7 linked regions of the Coturnix japonica genome follow. The main gene of each other region encodes a partner of the protein of the gene in region 4 in a complex. Links are inferred from orthologs where the notes say so. Each region holds a gene or a part of one and is shown on either strand. Other genes may lie near its edges.

Region 1 (3,955 bases), on a different chromosome or scaffold from region 4:
GCAGCGCTCACACCAGGACCCAGCAGCCATGCTGACACTGAAGGGGAAAGGCCACATTAAGTGAAGTTTTCTCAGCAGCTTCCACACCGCAGGGACTTGGCAAGAGAACAGAAGGGATGCACGAGTTACAGCCTGGGACTTTCACCTCGTGCTGATGGCCATGGAGAGCACAGGGTAAGAGGGGGAAGGAGGTGTAAAACAAAGAGCAACCTAAGGAACAGAGGCTGCAGCAGGCAGAGAAAGAACTCAGGGGATTTATGCCTTAAACACAAGCAGGAACAAGGAAGAAAGGTGTTGGGTTCCTGCTTGAAAACGTGGCAGCCTCAAGTAATACAAAGGGGGAAGCAATGGGAAGAGTGGAAAACACTGCTCAGATGTGCAGGGAAAGGCTCTGAGGGTCCCTATGGAGGAAGACAGAGCAAAGGCCTCCAGCAGGAAGCTTTGGAGATGCTCCCACCGAGCAGAACCTCCATGAGCCTTAAGGAGAAACAAAGGGTGCCCTGAGCTCTGCTGCTGCCTGCTTCTATCCAGCACTGAGAGCACAGCATTGCTCTGCTTTGTGTCACGGCTTCATTCTGCTGGATGCTCAGCCTCTGATGAAACCTGCCTTGGAAACAGTCCCCCACTGGGAAGGGTGGGTCATGCAGCAATGCAAGCTGCAGATCCCTGCTGTGTGCTGCACTTCCAGCCTTGCTGCCGTCCCCAGGCCAACCATGGGACAAGCACCCAGCTCTCCTCTCCTAATGGGATCCAGCAGGTCTGTTTGGAAGCAGAAAGCTCCAACTCCTTCCATGCACAGCCACGCTTCCTCCAATATCACTTTGTTAGCAGTTGTTTGGCTTGCAACAGCCCTTCCGTCCCACGGAAATGGGATTCCTGCTTGTCAGCAAGTGCCAATGAAATGCTTTTAACGGGGCACTTCATTAACTCCACTTCTTCTTTTTTTTGCCACTGATCTACGCCAGCAAAGCGACAGCACAGGGCAACCTCAAGGCCATTCTGCACAGCCCCTCCTCCACTGCATCACAGAGCTGAGCCCATTCCCTACCACAGCATCAACCTGATAACTCGGGAAGGATCTCCCAAGCCTGAAACCTCCATTACAACAAACAGAGGGAACTCCTGATGGATTTATGCTAACCTGAGCCTTGGGATGGGGGTGGACACACCACCGTGCAGCTGATCGCCCATTGCATGAACACACTCCCACTCCTTTCTGCTCTGGAAACATCAGTGCTAGAGTGAGTTGTCCTCCCCATTTCCCTTCTTGAGCTGCTGGTGCATAGCCAGGCAGGCAAGGGATGTCAAAGGATTAACATACATTTAATAATCCACTGATTAAAGAGCCCCTAAGCACCCGCTGCCATACATGAGGGCTGCTGTGTTCTCCTAGCCAGCATAATGCAGCAGAAGGAGCCTGACTCACTGGTTACCCCCTGAGAAGTCCTGCGGGCACCGCAGTTTTGACCACTTGGTGGGGAGGAGCTGCTTTAAACAGGCCTGCAAATTGCAAAACAAAAGACAGACCGGATCGATCAGCCCCCAATCCCCTCCCTGTGCCAGCAAACTGCCGGCCAGACACGACAACAACGACTTGCATTACCCAAACACTGCAGCACTGCCATATGCTCCCAGTCTCACCCTACCCCATCCATACGCTCCCAACACCTGCCATGAGTGCAGTATTATGGCCAGCATGGGATAAGGGGGGGGGGTGAAAGCAAACATATGTGCCCCTGTTTACCCACAACAGAGCGATGCCCGCTGGGTTCTGCAACCTGGGAAGGTCGGGATGAAGCCTCCCTATAGCTCTGAGTCACATTACAGCCAATGCAGGGCCCTATTGGCCTGGCTGAGCTCATCTCAGTTTTCACTTCGGGGTTTTTCAGCTTCACGGGTTGTTTCTCCTCCTTTGATACAGCAGTTGGAAATTCCCCCCATGTGGATGACTGGATTTCTTCGGTTTGGAACTCAGAACTCATCGCAGAACGAGGCTTCTCCATAAACAACCCCACAACACGTGGGGGCTGAACCAACAGCAGAAAAGGCAGCAGAAAGAGAGCAGAGTCCACAGCTTCCAGCACTGCAGCGGGTCACATTTACTCCCCTTTATCCCCATTCCTTCCCTTTAACGTTCACCATCACAGCTCCATCTCCGGAGCTGGAAATGCACAAGGATGGCTGTGATGGACCCTCCTGGGCCAGGACCCCCACAGCACAGCCTGGGGGGGTACGGGACCACCTCCATAGGGCAGAACACTTCTCCGTTAACTTTTTAATGGGGGTGGGGGGCCAGGACAGCCGCCCCTATGGAGCCCCGCTCCCCCCCCACCGCCAGGGCCCCACGTTCAGGAAGCAGCGCCGCTTCCTCCGGGCCCAAAAGGCCTCTGAACCCCCACGGCCCCTTTGGAGGCCTCTAAGTAACCCCCCAATCCCACCTCCCACCTCCCATCCCCAATACAGAGCACAGAGCCGCCCCCCGCCCGCCCTCACCTGGTACTGCGCTCCCGAAGGCCCCATCGGACGATATCCCGGAGCGGCCCCGGAGGCCGGAGTCGGGTTGGGGCCTCTCATCATACCGGGTCCGGGCCCTGGAGGAGGAGGAGCGGCGGAGCCGGAGGGAGGCAGAGGGCTGAGAGGGAAAGCTCCACGGGCGGCCATGGCGGTGCTGGACCGGGCAGAACCGAACCGGGCCGGGCCTAAAGCTGGGGGGGCGGCCCGGCGCTGTTTACTCGGAAGCGGCGGCGCCCGGAGCGGAGGGAGCGCGCGGCGTGAGAAGCCACGCCCCCCACCCCCGATAAGCCACGCCCACTCCCACGATAAGCCACGCCCACTCCCACATTAAGCCACGCCCACTCCCACATTAAGCCACGCCCCTCCGCTAAACCACGCCCTCAGAGAAAAAAGCCACGCCCCCCGATAACCCACGCCCCGATAAGCCACACCCGTTCACGCCCTATCCTATAAGCCACGCCCTCCACTAAAGCCACACCCTTCACTAAGCCACGCCCCACCCAATAAGCCACGCCCCAAAGCAAAAGCCACGCCTCCGATAAGCCACACCCCGTTCACTAAGCCACGCCCCCTCCGATAAAACCACGCCCCTTCCACTAAGCCACGCCCCCAGAGCAAAGCCACGCCCCCCAATAAACCACGCCCATCCACTAAGCCAAGCTAACTCCAATAAGCCACGCCCCTTCCATAAGCCACGCCCCCTTCAATAAGCCACGCCCCTTCCAATAATCCACGCCCCTCCGCTAAGCCACGCCCCCAGAGCAAAGCCACGCCCCCTCTGCCAAGCCACACCCCCTCAAAAGCCGCCACTAAGCCACGCCCCCTCCAATAAGCCACACCACTTCACTAAGCCACGCCCCTTCACTAAGCCACGCCCCCTCTGTGTGGCCACGCCCCTTAAACAAAGCCCCGCCCACTTGTGAGGCCCCGCCCCCATTGGCTGTATGTGTGCACATGTGTGTGATTGTGTGCACATATCTCTGCCAGCATGTGTGTGTTTGCATGTTTAGGGCCGTGTATGCATCTGATATGTGCATATGTGTGCACACGTGTGTGCATATGCGTGCCCACTCTGCATGCATGTGTGTGTATGTGTACATGTGTGCACGTGTTCATAATAGTGTACATGTGTGTTCATATGTGTTTTCCTGAGTACATGTACGTACGTGTGTACATGTGTGTGCATGTATGTGTGTATGTGTGTGGGTGGTGTAAACACATCTGCATGTGTGCATGGATGTGCATGGGTACATGTGTTAGCATGTGTGTACACGTGTGTAGCTGTTAGTGCATGTGATTATATGTGCATATGATTGCATGTATGTTCATACATGTGTGTGTGGGTGTATATGGATCTTCATGTGTACACCTCATGTATGTACCTCTGTGTGTATGTATGTACCTCCATGTGCAGGCATGTCCTTATGTGTATGTGTGCACA
Region 2 (3,500 bases), on a different chromosome or scaffold from region 4:
GCGGAATAACTTTGGAGCAACCATCACTGCTGTGGTTTGGGAATTCAGGAACTACCCAACCACAAAACCCAAACATCATTAATCACAGGAAGGTTTCAAAAGTACTCCTTTGCAAAAAGAAGAGAGGGAAGAGGAGGGCATATTTGTACTGTGACAAAAAAAGCAAGTCTTAAATTAGGTGCTTTCTGCCTCTGAATGGTTCACAGCTATTGTACTTTATTTCTGTGCTTTCCTTCCTCGTTTTTAAATCACCCCCTTAAAAAATGGCAACAGCCTAAAGAAGGCCTGAAATCTACCTATTTGAGCCACCCCAAAAACAAAGCACTCTTCAGCAACCAGGGACACATATAAAGTAGATGTGTAAAGCAGCAGGGAAGAAGAAGCAGTACTAGAGGCATCATATTGCCACTGACTGCCCTCCAAGCTCCCACCCATCCTCAGCAACACATACCCACTGCTCTAGCTGTTCCACAGCACAGATCTGCAAATATCAATCTGCTGTCATGGATAGCAAGGGAGAAGTCAACTCCCTGCTCCTAGAGAAGAGTTTAACTTCCATGTGAACCACACTAGGGATTAGCTGCAAGCTTCCTTGAGCTGACCTCCACAAAACCAGCGCCAGTAGCACCTTTCTCCCACCTCTGCAATACATCACTTGCTGAACTCTCAAACTTCCTCAAGTGTCACCATGGCCTGAGGTCAAAAAACCCACCAGCACACATTAAGGAATACTTAACAGACTGCAGACTAAGCAACATATGGAGGATAACATCTGTGCAGTACATTGCCACAGAACTCTGCACAGCACAACTGGAAATAATTAATATTAGGAGGCAAGTTACAAAGCTGACTAATCAAACCTGACACTGTTGCGTTCCAGCTAAGAGAACTGCCTGTGATCAAACCAACCTCAACTTCATCCAGGGCAGAGAGCTACAGTGTCAGTCAGGCTTAGCTCAGAAGACCAAAGCTTGGCCCAGGTCAGACAGAGCTGATGAGACAGAAACGTATCCAAGGCTCATCATGTGCAGACATTAGAAGAAGGCACAAGGTTTTCTGACAGTGTTAATTAGAAAAGCCTTTCACTCTGTGGCAAAAACTGATTTCATTGATATTTGGCCCTGGGATGCACTACACCCACCACAAAAAGATCTCTGAGCAAAAGCACAAGCTGGTTGAGAGGCACCAGGATCTACAGAACAAAACACACCAGGCTCCAGATCAAAACTCTTCATTTCTTCACCAGTCAGGCAGCCAGCAACAAGGGGCTGTGCCTGAGGAAGACATGACTGCAAATGTGTCACGTACATTTAGAGTGCTATGGTTAGATCCACTACTAACATTTCTGTTATCCAGAGGACTCCATCCATTTCATACAAGCAGCACAGTGTCTCTTACAGCTCACCAGTAACACCTCACCGTCCCATGACGTGTGACTCACTTGCCACTTCAAGACAGACAACTGTCCAGAACAGTGAGAAGAAATGAAACCATGTGAGCTGCTAACCTTGCACAAGCAGTGGTCCTTAGATAATACCAGCTTAGGGGATCACCAATTGATGAAACAAAAGGATGTCCAAGAAATAAAACAGTCTTTTAAGAACTATATAGTATACAATCTATAAGAACCAATTTCAAATTAAGCTTTCTACACTGTGTCAGCAGTTCAAGATTCGTTGACGTTAACAGCCATGAAGTAAGAAAACACATCTACACCCATCCAGAAAGATGGCAGTTCTGTACCTGAAGGCGTATGTCTTCTGATGCCAGCTCAGCTGTCCCCGGATGCTGTAGGCAATAGTAGTGACAAACTCCCCACCCAGGCCAAGCTCTGAGCACAGCTTCAAGGCAAACTTCTCTGGTGAATTCTCCTTCTCTGACATGTCCCATTCAAACTGGTCTACAAGGGAGATGTTCCCTACGTGGATGTTAAGCTGGAGACAAGGGAAGAAACGAGTCATTCATTTCTCAAGGACAAAATCTAACCTGGATAAAGGATTGGAATTAGGAACTCCTTGGTTTTGAGGGAAGTCTTTGTGCTATCTCTCCCCCATAAATAAATAAACAAAAAATCCAAAAAACCAAGAACACAAAACTAGAGAAATGCAAGTATAGTTCAGCTCTCATTCTACTGCCTCCCTGTAATTTACCTTAATAATAACACGCTGGTCTGACTGATCCTCTAGGATGCTGTCAGTTGGGTATGATTCAATCTGTTGTCGGATGGCAGAGGCAATAGCAGGGACAAAGGTCAGAGGATTCAAATCCAGGTCATCACAAAGAATCTCTGAGAACATTTCTGGGGTCATCAGCTTTTCTGATACAGAACAAGAAGACATTTTTCTCAGCCACCAATGTCTGCCACTTACGGAATACACAAAATTAAGATCCCATCTAACTTTTCAGATTACAGGTATTCAGGAATTACTGCAATCCATGGAAGTGTTAGGGATCTGCTAAGAGCCATGAGAGCCGAATAGGACACATCACTGTAGAAGAGCTTAAAAGATTTTCCTATATGGGGCAAGGACTTGCTTGTTCTCTCTTCATATTTGGTAATGAATGCAACTGTATTTTTCTAGTCTCAGGAAACTCTCCCTCCTACATACCATTCATGTTCCATGTAAATGCATCTCTGAGTTTCTGTCCATCAATTTCCATATCAAGCCTGATTGGAACCAGAACCTCCGGCTGGGATGCGTTCTCATGGATGACTGCTGGGTCATGGTCATCAAAGCTAGAACAAAGAACATCAATAGGGCATGTGGAATAGAAAATGATACATCTGGCATGCATAGAAGGAAGGTGCTTTTTATTGTTACCATCCCTATACTTCAACTTTTCAATTATTAGACATAATCCTCAACACAAAGTTACAGGGCTCTGGCAGCCACCTGCCTATCAGAGCAGCCCCCTGCAGTGTGTCATGTTAGTAACTGTTTCCACTTTTCTGAAGAAGGAAGCTGTCTTACCACAGAGGGAAAGTCCTCTTCTTGTCCCTGCCCATGCGATTTCTGTTAATGGTTGTTGAGCATGGTACTGCATCCAGGTGATGAGAGCTGTTGGGCAGTGTCGGCACCCATTGGTTGTTCCTCTTTGCCTTCTGTTCTCTGCAGAATGACACTCTGTGTTAACCTGCAGGCCCCGAACACCACTGCCACTATTTTTAAACTTAGTATCATAAATTACGAGTTCCTTCCTAATGACAGTTGGACTGAGAACTCATTCCACATTATTGCCTTCAAACTCCATTTTCCGGCCCACAACTATCCACTGCATACGAATCCAGGTGTACCACCAATACATGCTTCATATTTGGATTTCCTGTCTATGTTTACAGAGGAACTGCTGAGAAATGCGACATCTCCAGCAAAAAGTATGCGCAGAGAGTGTTCTGCAGAACATCTGCTACAGTTGGAATGAAGTAACTGCAAAATGAGCTGTATCATCAAACACTAATGTTTTTCTTCCTGTAATATGTGGGCAGCAACCCAATCCTT
Region 3 (4,092 bases), on a different chromosome or scaffold from region 4:
TCCTCGCTGCTGCCCGATTCAGTGTCTTTTTGGTGCTTGTTTTTAACCACTGGGTGAGAGCAGCGATTTTATTCAATTCAGGTTCCCTTCTGATTCCCTTCTACTTGCAGCCTTGCCAAAAAATTCAGAGTCTATAGACATCAATCTCAAGGAGAGGAACAGAACAAACCCCTCTGGCAACACCTCTATCAATGTATCAGGCGGACGGGAGGCAGCCGCCCCCTCCAGCCGCACACACCGCGGTGAGCAGAGCCCCACGGCCACGCCGCTGTGCCGTCATGGAGGCGGCCCCGCCGCTGTGCACCGCAGAGCCGTTATTGCCGCTGTGCACCGCAGAGCCGTTATTACTGCTCTCCATCACGGAGGGGCCGCCGAGAAGCGCTGCAGAGGCCCCTTCCCCCCCGATGGGCCGCGGGGTCTCGTGGTGCCGCGCGGGGCTGTGCACGAGGAGCCGCGAGCTGCGGCAGCACAACGGCGAGCTGCGGGGATCGCGGCGTCTGCAGCCGTCAGTCACACGGGGCGTAGCGGGGCCGGAGAGCCCCGGACAGATCGCCCCGGGCGGGGCCGCCGCCATACTGCCATGCTGCCATACTGCCATACATCCATACTGCCATACTGCCATACTGCCATACATCCATACTGCCATACATCCATACTGCCATACTGCCATACTGCCATACTGCCGTGCTGCCATACATCCATACTGCCATACTGCCATACTGCCGTGCTGCCGTGCTGCTATGCCGCTATGCCGCCCCCGCTGCTCGCACGCCCCCCATCCCTTCTCCCCCGCTCCGTCCCTGCCCGCTCCCGTCTCTCCGCCTCCCGCCGCCTCTTCTCGCCGCAGGGGCCGTTCTCATCCTGGCGCTGGAATCGCCGCCAGCGAATGTTTGCCCGCTGCCGGCGGTCCCCGGGGACGGGGCCTGGAGCGCGGCGCGGGCGGAGCGCTGCGAACGGGGGGAGCCATTGTTTCTCCCCGCTCTCCCGCCGCATATTGTAATGGGAAAACTCCCCGGGAGCCGAGGCCGCCCCCTCCCCCTTGCCCCAGAATTTACCATCCCCTGCGCCGAGGAGGAGCGGCTGCGGCTCCGCCGCGAAAGGCCGGGACGTGTTTTCAATCTGCCTGGCTCTTATCTCGGGTGTTTGGACAGAGAGGTTTAAAAAGCGGGATTTTCTGTCCCCGCAGAGTAAACACGCAGAGCCCGGCAGCGCAAACTATTTCTGGCTTATCAGTGGAGGAATGCAGCAGCTGAGGCCGAGCGCGAGTGGGCCGTCAGGAAGGCCCTGAAGGGGCCCCCTCCCCACTCCGCGCTATTAGAAGTGTGAGAGCCCAGCAGGACTCAGAGGGGAGAGTTGGAGAAAAAGGCAGAAAAGGGAAAGAAAGAGGAAGAGAGAGAGTGAGAGAGGCTGAGCAGACCCCGATGGCTACAGACGAAGTTACAGGAGGGGCTCGCAAAGCTACGAAAAGCAAACTTTTTGAGTTTCTGGTCCATGGGGTGGTGAGTCGGGAAAGTTAGCGAGCTGCTGGCTCCGGATCGAGGGATGAGTGCAGAGCGGAGGCTGCGCCGGGCTGGAGCGGCCCCTGCTGCGCGCCCGTGGGGCGCCGCTCCCCGCCTCGCCCGGGAGCCGCGGGGCCGCCGGTGCACACGATGTGACCGATTCGTTGCTATACGGCTTTGTCTGGGGGGTTGCGTGCTGTGATTGCTGCTTTGATTCTCCGTGCTTGGTGAATAGCGTGCTCCCGAGCCTCGTCACGGTGCGGGATCTGCACCGCGTCTGACCCAAACGGGCTCGTAGGACACTTTGTTCTGTAAGCAAACTTGTGTTTTGAAAAGCAATTCTGATGCTGGTCCGACGCGGCCGTGTGGCGCTGCCTCTGGTTCTCGTCTCCAGCCTTGGCTCTGATGTATCCGCTGGCTACTTAACAGGTGACTTTCAGGGGCTTGGAGAGATTAGCGCTGCGGATCTCTGCCAGGCGATGGGCGCTCACCCACGAGGGAACGTCAGGTTGCCGCGCTTAATTAAAGGAATCACTCAGGTCTTTAAAAAATCGCCAGCTTTTGTTTAAGGAATCAGGTTTTTGATCTCCATTTAAGGGGATACGCTAACCTTGTTTTGCTGCCAGGAGAAACGATGTTCTTTAAATGACTGATGGTTGAAAGCGACCACCATTTATAGCATTCGGATGTCTCGTGCTGATACACTTTTAAGGAAATAAGACCCAGGAAACGCAGATATAGCTCAGATGGAGACAGTCCCTGCGTGTTTTCTCTCCTGAGCGTTCTGGCACCTTCTGTGACACCTTTTTGAAGACATCCGCTGCGTGTTCCTGTACAAAGGAATCTCGGGAGCTCGCTGCAGGCCTCTGGGTTGTCCCCATAATTCAGGCTTGCTCCAAATGTATTGGATCTTTCTTGTGTACTGCAGAGCCTGGCTATGATGAGCTTGCAGGGTGAAGGACTTTTAGATGGCATTCTGCTCCCTGAGAGCAGTGAGCAGGCAGAGCGGTGCCGATGTACATCAGCAGTCTGTGGCTGGATGGGCAGATATGACAGAAGCAGGTGTGCGGATCTGTGGCAGTAGCTGTGCTGTGAACACGTGTGTTGGTTAAGATGGTCTGGCTCAGGGTGGCTGTAGCTGGGTGGCCGCAGGCATCCCGGGAGGGCTGTGCACGAGGGTAGCTGTTTCTTTTTCCAAGGCTTCTGTTGGCACAACACTGCTCTTCCTTTGGTATTTCCAAGAGTTGCTAAGACAGTTGGATGACCCTGCTTCTTTCCCATGTAGATGTGAAAGGAGCCTGCTGGCCTCTTAAGCATGAGAAATGTTAATTCATACCAGAATTAATGCAGCAGAACTTGTTTCCATTAGTTATTTGGGTGCTAGAAAAGTCTGACTTGTCTGCACTGCCTGTTTCTCCATGAGAGGCGTCTCACTTGGTATCCACATTGCCTGAGTACCTGCATCTGGTTGTTACCTTTCCACTGCCTGTCAGGGGAAACAGAGCTTCTTGTCCATCACTCTTTGCCTGAGCTCCTCTTGTAGGACCCTCTGCGCCCCTCCATGATTATTTCCTTTGGTTCTGCTTTTGCTTCCGTGTTTGTTCTTCACTTCTAGTTTCTTCCTGACCTCAGGCTCATTTTGGTCAAAACAGGTTGAGGCAGCCAGTCTTCCATTGCTTACAAAAGACCCAAAGTTGCAACTTCATTTACCTGTTTACATATCCTATCGAATAAAAGAACGAGCCGTTACCCCGAGTGCAGATATTGCAGCCTCATCACCGCACGCGGCCTGTCTGCATCTGAATCAATTCCTTGAAGATTCAAGTTGAAGAGTAAAGTTTTCCAGCATGCCTTGGAATCAGGTTATGCCTCCACTCCAGGGAAAATCTCCTCTTCAGATTACTGGGTTTTTTTGTTCTCTCTTTGGCAAAATGATCTCTCTTGATTACTGCAGGTATTGTTATCGTTATTGTTTCATTTTCAGAAATGGGAGTGTATAAGCAGGGATAGAATGCCATGAGAAAAAAATGTACTGTTTGAAGAATTAAATAGAAAGGAGAATTTTGCACTATTTACTGAGAGCTGTTAGATTTTGGGTTTATTTGATCTTTCTGAAAACATGTGTTTCTCTGCTAAGGTCACTTCGCCCTTTGCTCTTGTGTGTTTCATCTTGCCTTTGTTCTTTCCCATGCTGCCAGCTCAGAAGAGATCTTCTTCCCTTTGTGTGGTTCAGATAGGATCCCTCTGTGCTGTCAGATCTCAGTGGTGAGAAGCCTCAGGTGTGATACTTCGCCCTGCTGGAGTAGTTTGTTACACCTCTGCTGAGCAGTTCTTTTCAAAAGACCGCCTTTCTTTCAGTTATTCCTTAGATTTCTCTAACTCCTGGTCTGTTGATCAGGGCCTCACACGCTGTATCTGTGGGAAGAGGGATTTTTTGCACAGGCTTCATCATCCTTCACTGTCACTTTCGCCCCTCTGCTCTATTTCCAGAACTGTTATGGATAAATTCAGCTTTAATGACCACCTTTATGCCTATATGTTTTTTCCTGATGTGTTTTCTACTGTCCAGCAGTACACTTCAGGCTGCCCTTGT
Region 4 (4,280 bases):
ACCCAGCTGCACTTTAGCGCCGGAGCCGCCCCACTGAGGACATTATATGGGGGGGGGGTCTAAGAACAAATCGCCCCCCCCCCTCATTCCCCCCATCAGCTCCATGGCAAGGTCAGAACTGCCCCATGGTTGGGGGGGGAGCATGACCCCCATTGATGGTCAGTCACAGCCGCTGCTGCCCCACAGATGCCAGAGCTGCCCCATAGCGGGGGGGGCAGAGCTGTGTTACCCCCCCTGGACACGTTGGAGCCCCCCNCCCATAGCGGGGGGGGCAGAGCTGTGTTACCCCCCAGGGCCGTGTTTACAGCCCCCGAATGGGGGCAGTTAGGCCCCGCCCCCTCCCTGTTGGCCCCGCCCCCAGCCCCACATACTGCCCCCTCATTGGACCGGACAGTGAATTGGCTCCTCCCCTTTGTGCCGGGCCCCGCCCCCTGGGCAGAAGCCCCGCCCCTTTTTGTAGTGCTATTTGTTTGCTGTGAACCTCCATGGGGGGGGGGGGGGAGCTCCGGTTTGTGGCCATTTTTTTATACCTTTGGGGGTATAGAAACCCCCCCAACCCCCCCTGACCCCCCCAGCATGAGACCCCCCCCCACATTTTGGTTATATGGGGGGGGGAATTACACCCTCCCCTCCCCCCCCCATCTAAAGGGGCGGCACTGATGAATGTAGGGGTCCCCCCCCCCGGCTCCAACAGCCTCTACCTCCCGCGGGGGGGCAGGAAGGGGGGCCCAGCTCCAGCCCCGCCCCCCCCCCCCCCCCCGCCCCACTGAGAGTGGTTCAATGTTTACAGCCCCCCCCCAACACGGGGGGGCCGCGCTACCCCGCTGTGAATAACCCCCCCCTGTACATATCCCCCCCCCCACAATAAACGTAGCCCTTGGTGCAACTGTCTGCTCTATGACCCCCCCCAACCTCCGACCGCCCCCCCCCGAGCGCCATTTTGGTTCGTATTTTCATTTTAATTCCCAAAGTTTAAAAAGGACATTTTATGGGGGGGGGGGGGGGGCAGGCGAAGCCCCGCCCCTTGTGCGGAGTGGGCGGAGCTAAGCGAAGCCACGCCCCCACCGGTGCGTTGTGGGCGGGGCTTAGTGGGCTGAGCCAATCGTAGCTCCGCCCCATTCGGAGGCGGCCCGTTGGCCACGCCCCCCCCCTCGGTGGGCGGGGCTTATTTCAGCCCTGAAGGGGGGGGGGGTGAAAAAAGAGTCTCCAATAATCCATAGGACCCCCAAGTGTGGGGCGGGGACATCCCGGCCCCACAGGTTCGTCCCATCCCCCTCCCAGTACATCCCGAGCCCCCCCAACACTCCCCCCATGGCCCCCCCGGGTCCCCCAATCTCATTTGTCGTTATCACGGTAACAAAGCTCGGTTCCCATGGCAACAGGGTAATTAAGGCGCGGTCTAATGAGGCCGTCGGGGGTCTCTTTAGCCCCGCCCCCCGGGCACCACAACCCCCCCCCCAATAAAACAGCGCGGCCCCTTTAAGACTCGTCCCTCATTGTCTGCACCCGCATCCAATCACAGCGCACGGCGCAGAGGAAGCCGGGCTCTGATTGGCTGCGGCCTTCCAAGCCTCCCTCCCACTTCACACACACACGGGAGCTGTCCGGTGCTGAACCGCCGCCATGAGCGGGGGGGTCTACGGAGGCGGTACGGGAACGGGGGGGGGGCACCGGGATCGGAGCTGATGGGGGGGGGTTAATTTGGGGGGGGGTCCCGGTGTCACGGTCCTTTCTCCCCCCCCCAAAGATGAGGTCGGGGCGCTCGTGTTCGACATCGGCTCGTTCTCCGTCCGTGCCGGTTATGCCGGGGAGGATTGTCCCAAGGTACGGGGCTGCCCCCCCACACCGGGATCCCCCCCCCCACATTGAGACCCCCCAGACCCGCCGTGTCCCTCAAAACCCGGGACCCCCTGAGCCCCCCCCCCCCAACGCCCCCAGAATCACTGGGACCCCATTAACCCTCAACCCCCCCAACACTCCTGGGACCCCCACAATCCCTCCCCCATCCCTATTACCCCCCCCCAAAACAGCCCTGGGACCCCCACAACCTTCCCCTCCCCTCCAGCCCCGGGATCCCCTTTTCCCCCCCCACGTGTCCCCCAAAAAACCCCATAACACCCCCCAGAACCGCCGGGACCCCCATCACCCCACACTGCCCGTACCGCCGAGGCTCCCAGCCCCCCCCACCCCGTGAACCTGGCCCCATATAATTGAGCCCCCCCCCCCTTACCGGGCTGGGGTGATCGTGGGGGGGGCAGGCGGATTTCCCCACCACGGTGGGGCTGCTGTCCCCGGAGGAGGCGGCTCTGGAGCTGGATGGGGACAAAGAGAAGAAAGGGGGGAAGGTTTATTACATCGACACCAACGCGCTGCACGTGGCACGGGAGGGGATGGAGGTGCTGTCACCGCTCAAGAACGGAATGAGTGAGACGGCGGGGTCTATATGGGGGGGGGTCTATATGGGGGGGGTCTATATGGGGGGGGCTCTATATGGGGGGGGCTCTATATGGGGGTGGGGGGGCACTGAGGGGGTGGGGTGGCTCTATGGGATGGGGTGGTTGTGTTATGGGGATTGCTGTGGGGCTGGGGTCAGCCTATGGAGTTACGAGCCATCCTATAGGGATACTGAGGGGTTGGGGTCGTTCTGTGGCACCCCATAGGGACACTGTGAGGCTGTGGTCATATTGGGGGTCATGGTGGGCTCATAAGTCATTTCATGGGGATGTGCTGTGGGGTTAGAGTCATCCTATAGGGCCATGCGGTCACCCCATGGGGGGCTGGGGTCACCCTATGGGGCCATAGGGTAACTGCATAGGGACACAGGGTGGCTGGGGTCATCCTATGGGGCCATAAGAGCACCCTATGGGGATGCTATGGAAATAGGGTCACCCCTTGCACTTATGGGGCCATAAGAGCACCCTATGGGGATGCTATGGAAATAGGGTCACCCCTTGCACTTATGGGGCCAGGCTGACCCCCATCCCCCCCCCCCAGTTGAGGACTGGGAGTGCTTCCAGGCCATCCTGGATCACACCTATGGCAAACACGTCAAGTCGGAGCCAGGCCTGCACCCCGTGCTCATGTCTGAAGCACCGGTACGACCCCCAACCTGCCCCACATCACCCCACATCACCCCACACATGGCTGGGGGGGGTCCCCAGCCCCACATCTCCTACCTTGTGCCCCACAGTGGAATACCAGAGCAAAGCGTGAGAAGCTGACGGAATTGATGTTCGAACACTACAACATCCCTGCTTTTTTCTTGTGTAAAACTGCTGTTCTAACAGCGTATCCAGCCCCATAGATGTGGGGCAGCCGTGGGGCGGGCTGTGGGGGTGTCTTTGTTAATACAGCCCTTAATGAGAGGAGCACAGGTTTGCCAATGGGCGCAGCACGGGGCTGGTGTTGGACAGCGGAGCCACGCACACTACAGCCATCCCAGTGCACGATGGATACATCCTGCAGCAAGGTGTGGGGCAGCTATGGGGCGGCTATGGGGCAGGGTTATGGGGGCAGCCCCCATCGCTCACCTGTTCGCCCCATAGGGATCGTCAAGTCGCCGTTGGCCGGGGATTTCATCTCCATGCAGTGCAGGGAGCTGTTCCAAGAGATGAACATCGACATCGTGCCGCCCTATATGATCGCTGCCAAGGTGTGGGGCAGGGCTCAGCCCCACAACTGCCTGCCCCACATCCAAGCTCCATAGTTCCCTATTGGCCAGGCCCATTTAATACCACGCCCCCTTTCATTGGTTAAACCACCCCCATTTCCCCACCCCCTTTTTTCTGACCCCGCCCCCTTTTCCCTGACACCCCCCCCCCATTAGGAGCCGGTCCGGGAGGGGGCCCCCCCCAACTGGAAGAAGAAGGAGAAGCTGCCCCCCGTCTCCAAGTCCTGGCACAACTACACCTGCAATGTGAGTCAATGGGGGGGGGCACAGAGGAGGAACCCCACTGGGGGGGATTTGGGGGGGAAGAGGGAATATGGGGGAACATTAGAGCGAGATTCAGAATGGGGTTTGGGGGGAACAGAGGGAGATTGGGGGAACACAGGATCTTGGGGGACAGAAAAGGACTTTGGGGTCCCCTCTGTGACTCCCCCCCATTCATTCCCCCCCCAGGAGGTGATCCAGGACTTCCAAGCCTCAGTGCTGCAGGTGTCTGACTCCCCCTACGACGAACAGTGAGCGATATGGGGGGTGTGGATGGGTTTATTGGGAGAGGAGTGGGGTTGTGTGGGGACCCCCTCCTCTAAATTGCGACCCCTCCCCTTAGGGTGGC
Region 5 (4,033 bases), on a different chromosome or scaffold from region 4:
TTGTGAGAGCTCGGCAGTTTGTGGTTAGCTTTTCCTGTGAACAGTGTGAGTACCGAACAGGGCTTTCTGCAGTTACAGTCAATGTCACCTGGACCACTACTATACCATATAATATAATGCAATATGATAATGGAAACGTTCTTGAAGATTGCTTCCCAGAACCGTGGTTAGGATACATCTCGGCAGTCTGGCAACTCTCCAGCTGACAGGAAGCTTATTTCTCCTGTAACCAAGTGTCTCAGATAGGGGAAGATGGTTCCCTCCGGGAGCACACAGTGGGCAGGTTGGCCTTGGAGCTGCAGCAGGTGCTGCTTTGGGAAAGGGGACTCTGGCAAAGCTGCTGAATCCTGCATGACTGGGAAAGTGATGCACTGCTCTTTCCCCTTATCTGCATGTAATAATTTCTGTACCTCTCTGTTGTTCATCTCTCAGCCTTTTCTCTGCTGCCCACACATTAGAAAGTTTTATTTTGACAAACAGTTGGGAGAGATTTAGTTTTTCTGCCCTTGCAAAGCTCATCCCATGAGCTCAACGATTGCTGTTTTCTCTGTGTTACACCTGAACATCTCTCAAACATTTACTTCCATTCTTTCATTAAGTTGTGGATCGGGCTACCCTCTGTAGGCTTATCTTGCTCCTGCGATGGGAATGATTTAACTGCGTGTAGCTGAGTTTCCTCCAGTTTTATGAATGCGAGGATTGGAGAGGCAGGCTGCTGCTTGTTTCTGGATGGACAGAGGTGCCCGAAGGGAGGGGAGTCCTTCGGGAGGGACGGGGCGGGAGCTGCTGGCTCGGACCGTGCCCGTTCCATTCCGGCGCTGTACTCCGAGTGGCGCGGAGTTCCAGCCCGCCGCTTCCTTCGGGCGCTCTGCCGCTCTTCCCAATTCCTTGCGAGCACTCCGTGTAGCGGCAGGTGGCCGCGGGCTCCCGGGACTCGCCCCCGCCGCCGTCCCGTCCCGGGAGCGGCCGGGGCGGGGCGTGTCGGTCATCGCGGCCGGTCGTTACGGTTATGTAAGGGCTCGGGGCCGCGGCCACCCGACGCGGGAGGGAAATTCCTGGGGGGGGGAAGCGGCTCCCGGGGGCCGGGCGGATGGCGGTGCCGGCCCGGCGGGAGGGCGGCGGGCGGGGCGGTGTCCCCGGGGGCGGCCCCTGCCAGGATCCGCCCGGCCGCGTGCCCCGCGCGGGCGCTGCCCCTTTAAGGGCCGCTCGCCGCCCGCTCCACAGGCAGGAGCGACCTCTGGGCTTTGACAGCTCCCCTAATAACTAGCAGCGCTACGGCCCCGCCCGCGGAGCACGATTGGGCGGCGGGCCGGCACGACCCGCGCCGATTGGCCGGGCGCTTCCCCTGAGCGAACCTTTAGAACTCCGAGACACAATATTCTGTTACATTGTAGCAAAATGGCGACTGTCATTCACAACCCCCTGAAAGCGTAAGTAGGGCTCAGACCCGCACACGCTCCGCGTGGTTCCGCTACGAGAACGGCCGCCCTCCCGCCTCGCCCGGCCCCGGCTCCCCGCCTCCTCGCGCGGCCCCGGCTCGGCGGCTCCGGGCGGGCGGCGCGTCCTGCGGCCCCGGTCGGGGCGCACCCGCACCTGGCGGCGTCCCGCGGGGTCCGGCGGCGGCCGGGGCGGGGCGGGCGGCGGGGAGCGACGAGCCGCGGGGTGCGGGGTGCGGCGCGGGGCAGCGGCGCCGTTTGCGCGGAAGGCTCCGAGCGGCGGGGAGTTGGTGCCGCTCGCGGCTCGGGAGCGGGCGCCGGGGGCGGGAGGGCGACTCGGCTGCCGCCGCCACCCGGGTCCCCGTCCTAAGAGGGACGCGGGATCGCTCGCCGTCCCCCCTGCTCTCCTCTGGCGTTTCCCTCGGGTTCCGGCGCGCGGCTAATCCCGGGGCATTAGGGAGAGCGCGACCCGGCGCCGCGTAACCTCCCGCGGGAGAGTTGTGCCTCCCGGGGCAGCGCTCCCGCGGACGGAGCGCAGCGCAGCGCGGACACCTGGCGGCGGCGCTTCCCCGCACTTCTCAGCAGCGCGGAACGGAGTCCGGAGCCGAAGTGAGGGCTGCGGGATGTGGCTCCGCTTTCTTTTCTTCTGTTTCTTTTTTTGTTGGTTTTTGACTCGCGTCCCTCCGGCTGGAGTTGGCAAACCGCTCGGAGGTGGTTCCGGGGACTCCTGCCGCCGTCTCTCCGCAGTCTGCGGGGAGGATGAGCCTCGGGCTGCGGAAAGGTGCTGACACGTTTGCCGGCTCTCCCGCTCCGTCCTGGCAGAAAACCTTCGCTTTCATTTCGCGTGCGCTCCGCAGCGCCCACACGGCCGCGGGCAGCGGCAGTGCAGGTGCCCCGCGCTCCTTTAAGGGGATCCCGGGGCTCAGCACCCGCCGCCGCCGCTCTCTGGACCCGCGCCGCCCGCAGCAACTTGTCGCGCTGATGCCCCGGGCGCTCCGTCCCGCTCGCAGTTCTCGCCCGGCTTCCGGAGCCGCTCTCAGCGGGCAGCGCTCCCCGGGAGCCCCGGGGGGTGGGGGAGAACGGGCCGCCCCGGCCCCGCCAGGCTGAGCCGGGAGGGCAGCGGAGCTCGGCTCCTCTCGCGCGGCGTGGGAGAGCGCGAACAATGGGCAGCTCGTCTCTCTGCCTGCACAAGTGCTGCGCTGCTGAGCGGGGGAAGCGGGACCGGCACGGACTGCCCGGCACCACCTGCGTTTTTATATCGAGAAGTTGTTTAATAAAACATTTTATAATTTCCACTCATTCTTTAAAGTTGCTGGTTGGGGAAACAATACGCACGTAAATAAATTATGCACGGGATAAATTAGGACAAAAGCGGTAGGACGCATAATAGGGGAAAGGACGTAGAGCACAACGTTTTATCCTCATGTGTCCTCCCTGACAATGAAAGGGAGCCGAATGACATTTGCATTTATCTGCGTTTTGATTGTATCTGAAAACCCACAAACGCCCCCTACAGAAACTGCCCGCACAAAGGTTTCGCTCCGAGCCGGGGACAATGTCGGGACCGAGACATCCCGGCTCAGGTGTCCGCAGCTCCGGCTGTGCCGCCCGTCTACGGTGCCCAGAGCTCAGTTTCTCTCCGGCACTTGGACACATGTGTGGCCTCGTTCGTGCTGCGCTGCTCTCGAAATAACGTGCTCCCGTGTACCTGAGCGTCCCTGGGAACGCGCTGCACGGAATAGCGCGGTGCGTGCAGTCCCCCGGCTGTGATGGGCGCTCCCACGTTCAGCTCGCCTCTCTCTCTGCCTCTTTTCTCACTTGCTGGTTCTCTTCGGGGGCTTTCATCCCTCTGCTCTTATCCCCCTCGCTGCCTCTGTCTGTCTGGTCAGCCCGACTCAATCGCCTGCTATTTTTGCCATCCAGCACCTTGCTCACCTACACGGTGCTCCGAGGCAAAAACGGCAGAGATGTGAGCGTAACAGATCTGCGAAGAAAGGGCAGCAGGTGTCTGGATAAACACAGAGTTCTTTGCCTGCAGAAAAGGCAGCACTCAGTGTGCTGATGGGCAGCAGTGGGCTAGAAATGCTGCATTCATTGTTGGGTACCTATCTCTATTTCTTCTTTCCATCTTTTCCTTTGGATATCTTAATGCGGAGATGTTCGAGTGGGGCAGCAGAAGGAACAAATGCAATGAAGTGGTATTCTGAATGACTTAAAGTGTCAGTCAGAAATCTCAGTGGGCTTTGTAAACATTAATTAATTAAACCTCTCATCACCCCTGTGAAGAAGGGATTATTGCCTTTGTTTTGTGGATGACTAAACTAGGACAAAGTGGTTAAGAAACTTTCTGAATTGAAGATCAAGTCTAAAGCACAGCAGTGCAGCTTCCAGCCTTAGCAGCCAGCCACATTTCCTCCACTCCTGCCTGACTAGAAATGTGCATACGGTACCATAATGTATTTAATGTAATTAAGATCTTGTAATTTACAGAGCTCGATCTAGAAGTGGAGCTGATTTCCTCCACCCTTTCTCAGTCTGTACTCCCACAGCTGACTTTTCTTTCAGATTGTCAGTTAAATGCACTCCCTGGAGCACTC
Region 6 (4,284 bases), on a different chromosome or scaffold from region 4:
TAACTAACTCATCTTTTTGTATCTTTTCCACAGACCTGTACGAATTACAATTAAAAACAAAACTAGATGCTGGGACGGGACAGCCCGTGTCCAGCACTGAGATTCAGGTACGTTCCTCTCCTCCCTTCTGTTGTGGGGATGGAGGAGATGGGAATTCGGCTCTGAAATGGTTAAAGAAGAGCATGGCCTAATTCTCAGTTCACCTTTTGACAGTTGGGGAGCTCCAGCACCTCATGGTCCTGGAGACTGCGGAGTGGAGCGTTCTGGCCCATTGCTCAACACGTTGTGTCTGGACACATTCAGGTGGTTGTGGTTCTACACATTCAACCACCCCGAGGCAGTTTCCGGCCACCCGCTGCCATCGCTTTGACAGGAGTGGGAACCCGACTTTCTTGGACGTCCGTGTGTGCAGCTATTGCCTTGGCATGCTGCCAAATCTCTTTCCAGAGGGACACGACCAGCAGAGAGGAAATGACAACCCGCAGCACTTAGTGAAGGCTAATTCTAAATGGGATGGTTAGGGACCGGGGAGAGGCGTTTCGTTGACCCGCGGCCCATCTCCTCGCTGAACCTCCAGAGCCGCCACCGAGCAACGCAGCCATGAGCCCGCTCCGCTTTCCCCCAAAACTGGGCTGCGGCTCCTGCGCCCCCGCCGCCTCCGGAGGTGCCCCGGGAAGGTGAGGAAGGCAAGGAAGGCCGCTCCGAGCGAGGTCACGGCTCCTGACCCCCCGCCCCGAGCCGGGCGGTACTGCCAGGGTCGTGCCGCCGCCCGCTGCCCCGGCACCGCCCGCACGCCGGCCCCGGTTCCGCCGCACCGCCCCGCTCTCGGTGCCGGGCTCGGCTCCGCGGATCCGCTGCGGGTTTTGCGTGCGGCAGCCTCCGCCGCGCCGAGCCGCGAGCGGCCGGGGCCGGCCCGCTCCTCCTTTGTGAAGGGGGGGAGGCTCCCGTCCGGGCCGCGCCGCGCTCCGCTCCGGGTTTGGCAGGCGGCCGCGGCGCTGGGTAAAATGGCAGTGCTGAGCCTCGTGTCGGAGTGAGCCCCACTCGGCGGACCAGAGTCGGGAGCTGCCGCGCGGCTCACCCAGCCCGGCCCCACCGCCGCTCGGCCCGGCTCCGGGGACGGCGCCCGCCCGCCCGCTCGCCGTGTTCCCCCCACCCCCCTCCCCCTTCCCTCCCTCCCGCCTCTCCCGCACCGGGAGCCCCGTCCCGGGTCCCCCCCTCCTCCTCCTCCTTCCCCCCACTCTCTCCTCCTCCTCCCCTTTCTCTGCCGGCTGCAACCGAGGAGGTACAGCGGGGCCAGGCCCCGGGAAGCCCAGCCCAGCGGAGCCCTCCCCGCCTCGCCAACCAGGCTGGGGGGGAATGAGCCCCCGCTGCCCTGAAGAGCCCGCCGCCGCCTGAGCGGGGAGCAGCAGAGCAGTGAGGCCTCACGCCGGTCGGCCAGGCAGGGAGCAGCTCGGGGGGGAACCGGTCCGGGGGGGGGGGGGATCATGGCTGCTCAGGTCGCCCCCGCCGCCGCCGCCGCCGCCAGCAGCCTGGGCGCCCCGGCTCCGGCCGAACTGAAGAAAGCGGAGGCGCAGCAGCGGGATTGTCCCCTGGAGGAGGCGGGGGGCGAGGCGGCGGCGGCGGAGCGAGGCGGCGGCGGCGGCGAGAAGCAGGCGGAGAGCGAGGGCCCCCCGGGGAAAGAGCTGCAGGACGGGGCCGAGAGCAACGGAGGGGGCGCAGGGGCCGAGTCCGACCTGAAGAGCTCGAACGGGAACCCGGGCCCCAGGCCCGCCGCCGCCACCCTGAACAATAACCTCCCGGAGCCGCCCGGTGGCGGCGGCGGCGGCAGCAGCGACGGGGTGGGGGCGCCGCAGCAGCAGCAGCCGCCGCAGCAGCCTCCCCCTTCCCACCCGGCCGCCTTGCCCCCGCCAGCCTACGGCTTCGGGCAGCCCTACGGCCGGGGCGCCCAGGCTGCTGCCGCCGCCGCCGCCGCTGCGGCCGCCGCCGCTACCTTCCACCAACATGGCGGACAACAAAGCCCTGGCATGGCAGCGCTGCAGAGCGGGGGCCTGGAGCAGTCTTACCCGGGGCCGGCGGGAGCCCCCGCGGGGCCGCCCCCTCCCCAGAACTCGCACGGCGGCGCCGAGCACGGCTTCCCCAACCACCAGTACAACAACTACTACGCGGCCGGCGCCGGGCGCAGCGCCGGCTCCTACCCGCCTCCCCCCCAGGCCTACGCCCTGAGCTCCCCTCGGGGCAGCGCGCAGAGCTCCGCTCAGGCGGCCGCCGGCGCCAAGTCCCCCGCCGCCGCCTTCCAGCAGCAGCGCTTCGGGGTCATGGGGCCCTCGGCCGCCGGCGGAGCAGGAGGAGGGGGCGCCACCCCTCAGCCCACGGCCACCCCCACCCTCAACCAGCTCCTCACCTCCCCCAGCTCCGCCCGCGGCTATCAGGGCTACCCCGGGGGCGACTATAGCGGCGGGCCGCAGGACGGGGGAGCCGCCGGCAAGGGCCCGGGCGCCGCGGACATGGTCTCGCAGTACGGCGGGGGCAACGGCCAGGGCTGGGCCGCAGCGCCCGGCGGGGCCCCGCCGAGGAGTCACCACGCGCCCATGAGCCCCGGGAGCAGCGGCGGGGGACAGAGCCTCGGCCGGAGCCAGCAGGTAACCGCGAGGCCGCGTGAGGCGGACGGCGCGCCGGGGGGGGGGGACACGGGGCGGAAGGCCGCGGCCGTCGGGCTGGGGATGGGGGCGGCGGGGGAGAGAGGTGCCCTGAGGAGGGTGGTGGTGTGGGGCGGGGGGGGGGAGGACGGGACGGCCCCTCTCCCGTGGCTTCTCCCCGCCGGGTCGGCGCTGCTGGGGAGCTGCCATTGTCTGTGCCTGCTCTCGCTCTAAAATGGCTGCCTCTCTGCCTTTCCTTCCTCCTTCCCCAGCCTTTGTGCGAGGCTCCCGGAGAGCGGCCTCCGTTCCGCCGGGATAAGGGGGGGCGAAACGGCGGTCGTCCCCGGCGGGGAGCGGCCGGGCCCGGCGCGAAGGGGTCGGCGGAGGCGGTGCGGCGGGGATCGGGCGGCGGGCGGCCCGCCTGGTCCAGCGCGGGGTGTCCCCCCCCGGCAGTGCCGCTGCCCCTACTCGCCGCTGCCCCGCTCCGCGCCCCGGGGGCTTCGCTCCCTGCCCGGGGTCGCCCAGGGCCCGCCCGGGTGGCCGCGTCTCGGCCCGGCCCGGAGGGGCCATCTTCCCCCGCGGGAGGCCCGGCGGCCCGAGCCCGTGGCCGGGAGTGCTAGTAAGCGGCTCGGCGATAGGAGCAGTGAGTGCAGATTGCTTTGGTTTGGGATTTGAATTATGGAGGTAAAATCCTTCTGTCAAAGCCAGGAGACAGTTGGTCTTAGGTTGACATCCTATCTGTGATCTGATTGGCTCCCCATCTCCTGCTCTTGGCCATTTATAATTGCCTCTGATGTAATGGTACAACAATCCTGATGAGCTCATAAACTTTTACACTCGGCTTTTCTGCCAGCTCGGACCCAAAGCAGCCCTGCTGCTCGCCACCTCCTCGGCCCCCCACCGAAATTGGCTGTGACCTTGAGGAGAGTCGGCCTTGCAGGAGCGGATCCCTGGCCTGCCTGCCCTGCTGCTTTGTGCCCGAGACAAAAGAAGAGGCGATGGCATTTTGTTTGTACCTTGGGTTTATTTTGCTTGTGATGTTTTATGCAGCCTGGAATAGAGTCTCTGTTGTCAGAACAGTGGCAGGTCTTCTCTGCACAATGGGCTTGCTGTTTATTTTGGTTATGTGACTTTCCCTTCGGTATAAATGATTTCTTTGATGGATCTGAGGGTGCGTTTGTTCCCAACTAATTTTGGCCTTTTTCAAGACCGGGACTGTTTGGATTCTTTCAGCTGGAGGTGTGGGGGTTTCTGCAGCCTTACAAATAAACAAAAAGCCCTACCAAACAGTCGCAACCAATTTTGTGGTGGAAGCATTGAAAATGATTTACCTACTTCAATTAATTGGGGAGCTTCAATATTGATCAGGCCTCGGCTTCTGGTTGTGCATCTCAGGGCATGTTTTGACTTTGAGTGAGCACTGACAACATCTGTCCCCTCTCTGCATTTAAAGGACATGTTGTAGGTCCTCACTTTGTCACAGTACTTCACTTTCTGAAGGAGTATGAATAGGAAATCCAAGCCTGCACATCAGAATGATCATCGTGTGGGGACACTTACCCATTTGCTGGAAATATGGAGGAGCAGGAAGCGTGCCGAGGAGAAAGCAGTACAGTGTGTGCATCAGACATCTTAGATACGGGGATTC
Region 7 (4,134 bases), on a different chromosome or scaffold from region 4:
CCAGATGCTTTATTAGTTTAATGTAGTGTGTAATGCTTACTTTTTCTTATGCTTGGGTACCATTTGTATCGGAGTAGTCATACAAAAACACTCCAAAAAAAACCCCCTCCATTCTGAGGGATGGTTTAAAAATGTAGGTCACCAGTAACAGCTTTCCACGTGCTATTTGGATGACATGTTTTGACTTTTGTTCTGGTATCGCACAGTGTCCTGTGCCCACTGGAAACTACATTGTTTGGGGAAACAATTACAAGACTACATGCCTCTCTCTTCTTGATCAGCTCCCATTATCTGCAAATAAGTACAGAGAACATATTGAGAACAGCCCTATATATAAAAGCATCATCAGCGCAAATGACCATTAGAATTTGGAGACAGCTGGGCAATGTGGACAATGGCACCGATGGTACGGCTTCAGAATTTAAGTTACGTTTTATAGCTGTCAGCACTGAAAATACAGATTTCGGGGGGGAGGAATAGGAAAAAAAAGGGGGGGAAGGAGGGGAGAAAAAAGAAAAGAAAAAAAAAAGAAGAAAGAGAAGAGAAAGTCGTGTTTTTCCGCGAAACATCCTGCATCCCCCGCCAGAGGAACGGAACGGAGCTCCTTTCCACACCTCCGAACTCTGCCCGCCGCCTGCGGAGCCCCGAGGCCGCCCGCTCCTTTCCTCCCTTCCCTCGGGACAGCGACCGCGGCCCGACCGCTCCGCCGCCGGCCCCGTCCCCGCAGCGCCGAGCGGGCGCGGGGCATCGCGATCCGCCGCCCCTTGACGCTCCACGTCCCGGAGCGGGCGGCGAGCGCCGGTGCCGGCGGATTCCAGTCCGCGTTTTGCGAGTGCGCGGGGCGCGGAGGGGGCGATGGCTGCCGGGGCTCGCCCGCCCGCCCGCTCGCTGCTGCCATGCTGGGCCAGCGCGGCTGAGGCAGACGTGCGCGTCCCCATATCCGGGTTAGGGAGGAAAGGAGGAAAAAAAAAAAAAGTTTCATTTAAAGCCGAACAAAAAAGTTCCAACATGAAGTCACAGCGCGGCGGCGGGCGCGCACCGTGAGGCGCTGTGCTCCGCTCCGCTCCGCTCGTAGCACTTCTCGGCCGCGGACCGAGAAGGGGATTTGTGCGGCCCGCAGGGACGGCCCGGCCCGGCCGAGCCCTGTCGCCCCGCTCCTCATCCCCCACCCCCCCCCACACCCCCCCTAACCCCCCCCAACCCCCCCTAATTCCCCCCCAACCCCCCCTATACCCCCCCTAACCCCCCCCAACCCCCCCTAATACCCCCCCACCCCCCCCTACACCTCCCCCCTCCCCGGCTCACCCCCCTCGCTGAGCGCGGGGGCCGAACTCCCGTCTTGTTGTTTTGTTTTGTTTTTTTTTTGCCCGATTTTTAGTCTTTTCGGTCCCGGCGCCGGTCCCTCCGACCTCGCGATGTGGCGGTGATCATGGCCGCGCAAGTGGCGGCGGCTCCGGCGGGGGCGAACAACGGGCAGGGCAAGGCGCCGGGCCCGCCGGAGCGCGGCCCCGGTGGGGGCCCCTCGGCCGAGCAGCAGCACCCCGCGCCGGCCCGGCGGCAGCACGGCGAGCCGGCCATGGCCCACCGCGCCGCTCCCAACGGCGGCAGCGCGGCCGGCGGCCCCTCCTCGGAGCCGGCGCTGAAGGAGGCCGGCGGCGGCTCCGCGGCGCGCTCCTCGTCGTCCTCCCCGCCTTCCTCCTCCTCCTCCTCCTCCTCCTCCTCCTCCTCCACCCCGGGCTCGGCCATGGAGACGGGGCTGCTCCCCAACCACAAGCTGAAGAGCGTCGGAGGCGATCACCCCGCCGCGCCGCCCCACCACCACCACCGTGCCCACCACCCGCACCACCGTGCCCACCACCACCACCATGCCCACCGCCCGCACCACCGCCACCACGCTCCGCCGCAGCCGCTGAACCCCTTCCCGCCGCTGCCGCCGCAGCAGCCGCCGCCTCAGCACCATCCCGCGCAGAATAGCGGCGGCAGCCTCGGCGGCGGCGGCGGCGGCAACAACAACGGCGGCGGCGGTGGCGGCGCTGCGCAGCCCGGCGCAGACATCGAGCAGCAGCAACATGGAGGAAAAGACGGCGTCCTGGGCGCTCCGGCCGAGCCGCCGCAGCAGCCGCCGCAGCAGATGCTGAATAAAGGCGCCGACGAGGAGGAGATGCCCGGCAAAATGGGCGAGCCCATCGGCGGCCGCTACGAGCACCCCGGCTTGGGACCCCTGGGCGGACAGCAGCAGCCCCAGCAGCCGCCCCCGAGCGCCGGGAGCGGCGGCGGCCTCGGCGGCGGCGGCGGTGGCGGCGGGGGAGGCGGCGGCGGCGGCCCCTCCGCGGTGGGTGTCTCGGAGTTCAACAGCTATTATGGCAACGCTGCCCCCGCCGCCGCCGGCAGCGCTACGGCGAGCCGCGCCGGGCCTTGCTTTGATCAACATGGCGGACAACAAAGCCCCGGGATGGGGATAATGCACCCCGCGGCGGCCCCCAACAGCATGGACCCCCTGCAGAACTCGCACGAAGGGTACCCCAACAGCCAGTACAACCACTACCCGCCCTACGGCCGCGGGCCCGGCGGCGGCGGCGGCACGGGCACGGGCGCGGGCGGCGGCGGCGCGGGAGCCGTGGCGGCGGCGGGAGCCGTGGCGGGCGGCGGCGGCGGCGGAGGCTACGGGGGCTCGGCGGCGGGCTACGGGGTGCTGGGTTCGCCCCGGCAGCCGGGCGGCGGCATGATGATGGGCCCCGGCGGCGGGGCCGGCCTCGGCAAGGCTGCCTCCGGCGCGGCGGCGGCGGCGGCGGCGGCCGGCGGCTTCGCGCGGTTCTCCGGGCAGAACCAGCACCCGTCCGGGGCCACCCCGACCCTCAACCAGCTGCTCACGTCTCCCAGCCCCATGATGCGGAGCTACGGCGGCGGATACCCCGACTACGGCGGCCCCGGCGCCCCGCCGCAGCCCCAGCCCCAGCCCCAGGCGGCGCCGGCCGCCCCGGGCGGCCAGCAGGCAGCGGGCATGGGCATGGGCAAGGACATGGGCGCTCAGTACGGGGCGGCCAGCCCGGCCTGGGCAGCGGCGCAACAAAGGAACCACCCGGCGATGAGCCCCGGCAGCACCGCGCAGCCCATCGGCAGGACGCAGGTAAGCCCCGCGGCGCCCGCTAAGGGGCCCGCGCGCCGCTCGCGGGTCCCCGCGCCGCTTTTTGTTTTCTTTATTTTTATTCAGATTTTATTTGCCCTTTCCCCCCCACACTTCATCCCATCCCCCCCCATCCCCCGCGTGGGTCGCTCCCTCCGCTCGCTGCCCCCTCTCGACACCCGCCGTGCTGCGGGCACGGGCTCCGGCTGGGCCTCACGGCGCCGCGTTGCTGCTGGGAGCAGCGGCCGAGGGCCCGGCCCGGCCGATGGGGCGCCGTGCGGCCGCGCTGTGTGTGTGCGGGTCGGTGCGTTCCCTTGGGGCTTCCCGTGGCGCTTCTCTCTTTTGCTAACAGTTCGGGCTGTATTTTTCTATCCGCACACAGCGAGTTGTCCGCGCTAATTAGTTTGTCTCTAACGCGGAGTTACCGCAGTGCACGCCGCTCAGCGCAGCTCGCCTGTTAGTTTTTTATTCGTGTTTTTTTTTTTTTTTTTTTTTTTTTTTTTTTTTTTTTCCCCTCTCTCCCTCTGTGGGAAGAGCGCGTGTGTGCGCGTCGCTGTGCGCCTGACTCACGGCGCCGCTCCGGCCCCAGCGCCGCGCTTCGCCCCTCGCATCCGCAGGGGCCGGGCCCGTCCCGGCGGGTCGTGGCCCGGGGGGGGCGTTAAGGCTCGGGGCGCCGCCGAGAGCCGCCCCTCCGCGCTCGTTCCGGCCGGGAACCGCCGCTTGTCGCCGTGGCGGCCGGAGCCCGTAGTCGAGGAGCGGCTCCGCTTCTCCGCAAGGTTTGGAATTTGAATTGTGGAGGTAAACGGGCTGCAACAGTCTCCAGACAGCTGCCTCCGAGTTGACATCTAATCTGCCATCTGATTGGCTCCCTGCTCGCCATTGGGCACTTCGCGCCGCTGATGTAAATAGCAGCGCCGAGCGGCGATGCCGGCACCCACGGCCCCGCCGACACCGAGCGGCCGGGTGGGGGTGGGGGGGTGCGGCTGCGCGGGAGCCAGCGAGGAGGGGGC

What was found.
Region 1: ACTL6B (region 4) and SMARCD2 share a complex: the UniProt entries of both Homo sapiens proteins name them as parts of the BAF complex. The link is inferred for Coturnix japonica from reciprocal best matches to the Homo sapiens genes ACTL6B and SMARCD2.
Region 2: ACTL6B (region 4) and SMARCB1 share a complex: the UniProt entries of both Homo sapiens proteins name them as parts of the BAF complex. The link is inferred for Coturnix japonica from reciprocal best matches to the Homo sapiens genes ACTL6B and SMARCB1.
Region 3: ACTL6B (region 4) and SMARCD3 share a complex: the UniProt entries of both Homo sapiens proteins name them as parts of the BAF complex. The link is inferred for Coturnix japonica from reciprocal best matches to the Homo sapiens genes ACTL6B and SMARCD3.
Region 5: ACTL6B (region 4) and DPF3 share a complex: the UniProt entries of both Homo sapiens proteins name them as parts of the BAF complex. The link is inferred for Coturnix japonica from reciprocal best matches to the Homo sapiens genes ACTL6B and DPF3.
Region 6: ACTL6B (region 4) and ARID1A share a complex: the UniProt entries of both Homo sapiens proteins name them as parts of the neuron-specific chromatin remodeling complex. The link is inferred for Coturnix japonica from reciprocal best matches to the Homo sapiens genes ACTL6B and ARID1A.
Region 7: ACTL6B (region 4) and ARID1B share a complex: the UniProt entries of both Homo sapiens proteins name them as parts of the neuron-specific chromatin remodeling complex. The link is inferred for Coturnix japonica from reciprocal best matches to the Homo sapiens genes ACTL6B and ARID1B.

The regions. Positions count from the first base shown.
Region 1 is NC_029542.1:1,260,750-1,264,704, forward strand, and holds the start of SMARCD2 (SWI/SNF-related matrix-associated actin-dependent regulator of chromatin subfamily D member 2), read right to left. Parts: upstream 2,801-3,955; 5' UTR 2,662-2,800; coding exon 2,494-2,661; intron 1-2,493. UniProt on the Homo sapiens protein: Involved in transcriptional activation and repression of select genes by chromatin remodeling (alteration of DNA-nucleosome topology).
Region 2 is NC_029530.1:7,053,063-7,056,562, reverse strand, and holds part of SMARCB1 (SWI/SNF-related matrix-associated actin-dependent regulator of chromatin subfamily B member 1), read right to left. Parts: intron 3,111-3,500; coding exon 2,973-3,110; intron 2,738-2,972; coding exon 2,610-2,737; intron 2,318-2,609; coding exon 2,151-2,317; intron 1,935-2,150; coding exon 1,744-1,934; intron 1-1,743.
Region 3 is NC_029517.1:105,896-109,987, reverse strand, and holds the start of SMARCD3 (SWI/SNF-related matrix-associated actin-dependent regulator of chromatin subfamily D member 3), read left to right. Parts: upstream 1-1,292; 5' UTR 1,293-1,421; coding exon 1,422-1,499; intron 1,500-4,092. UniProt on the Homo sapiens protein: Involved in transcriptional activation and repression of select genes by chromatin remodeling (alteration of DNA-nucleosome topology).
Region 4 is NW_015439878.1:127,799-132,078, forward strand, and holds the start of ACTL6B (actin-like protein 6B), read left to right. Parts: upstream 1-1,480; 5' UTR 1,481-1,623; coding exon 1,624-1,648; intron 1,649-1,747; coding exon 1,748-1,824; intron 1,825-2,258; coding exon 2,259-2,424; intron 2,425-2,994; coding exon 2,995-3,095; intron 3,096-3,190; coding exon 3,191-3,288; exon of another isoform or gene 3,289-3,327; intron 3,328-3,374; coding exon 3,375-3,469; intron 3,470-3,530; exon of another isoform or gene 3,531-3,545; coding exon 3,546-3,652; intron 3,653-3,826; coding exon 3,827-3,916; intron 3,917-4,120; coding exon 4,121-4,182; intron 4,183-4,274; coding exon 4,275-4,280. UniProt on the Homo sapiens protein: Involved in transcriptional activation and repression of select genes by chromatin remodeling (alteration of DNA-nucleosome topology).
Region 5 is NC_029520.1:23,752,190-23,756,222, forward strand, and holds the start of DPF3 (zinc finger protein DPF3), read left to right. Parts: upstream 1-1,233; 5' UTR 1,234-1,398; coding exon 1,399-1,430; intron 1,431-4,033. UniProt on the Homo sapiens protein: Belongs to the neuron-specific chromatin remodeling complex (nBAF complex).
Region 6 is NC_029538.1:102,295-106,578, reverse strand, and holds the start of ARID1A (AT-rich interactive domain-containing protein 1A), read left to right. Parts: upstream 1-1,484; coding exon 1,485-2,639; intron 2,640-4,284. UniProt on the Homo sapiens protein: Involved in transcriptional activation and repression of select genes by chromatin remodeling (alteration of DNA-nucleosome topology).
Region 7 is NC_029518.1:46,220,755-46,224,888, forward strand, and holds the start of ARID1B (AT-rich interactive domain-containing protein 1B), read left to right. Parts: upstream 1-1,334; 5' UTR 1,335-1,429; coding exon 1,430-3,127; intron 3,128-4,134. UniProt on the Homo sapiens protein: Involved in transcriptional activation and repression of select genes by chromatin remodeling (alteration of DNA-nucleosome topology).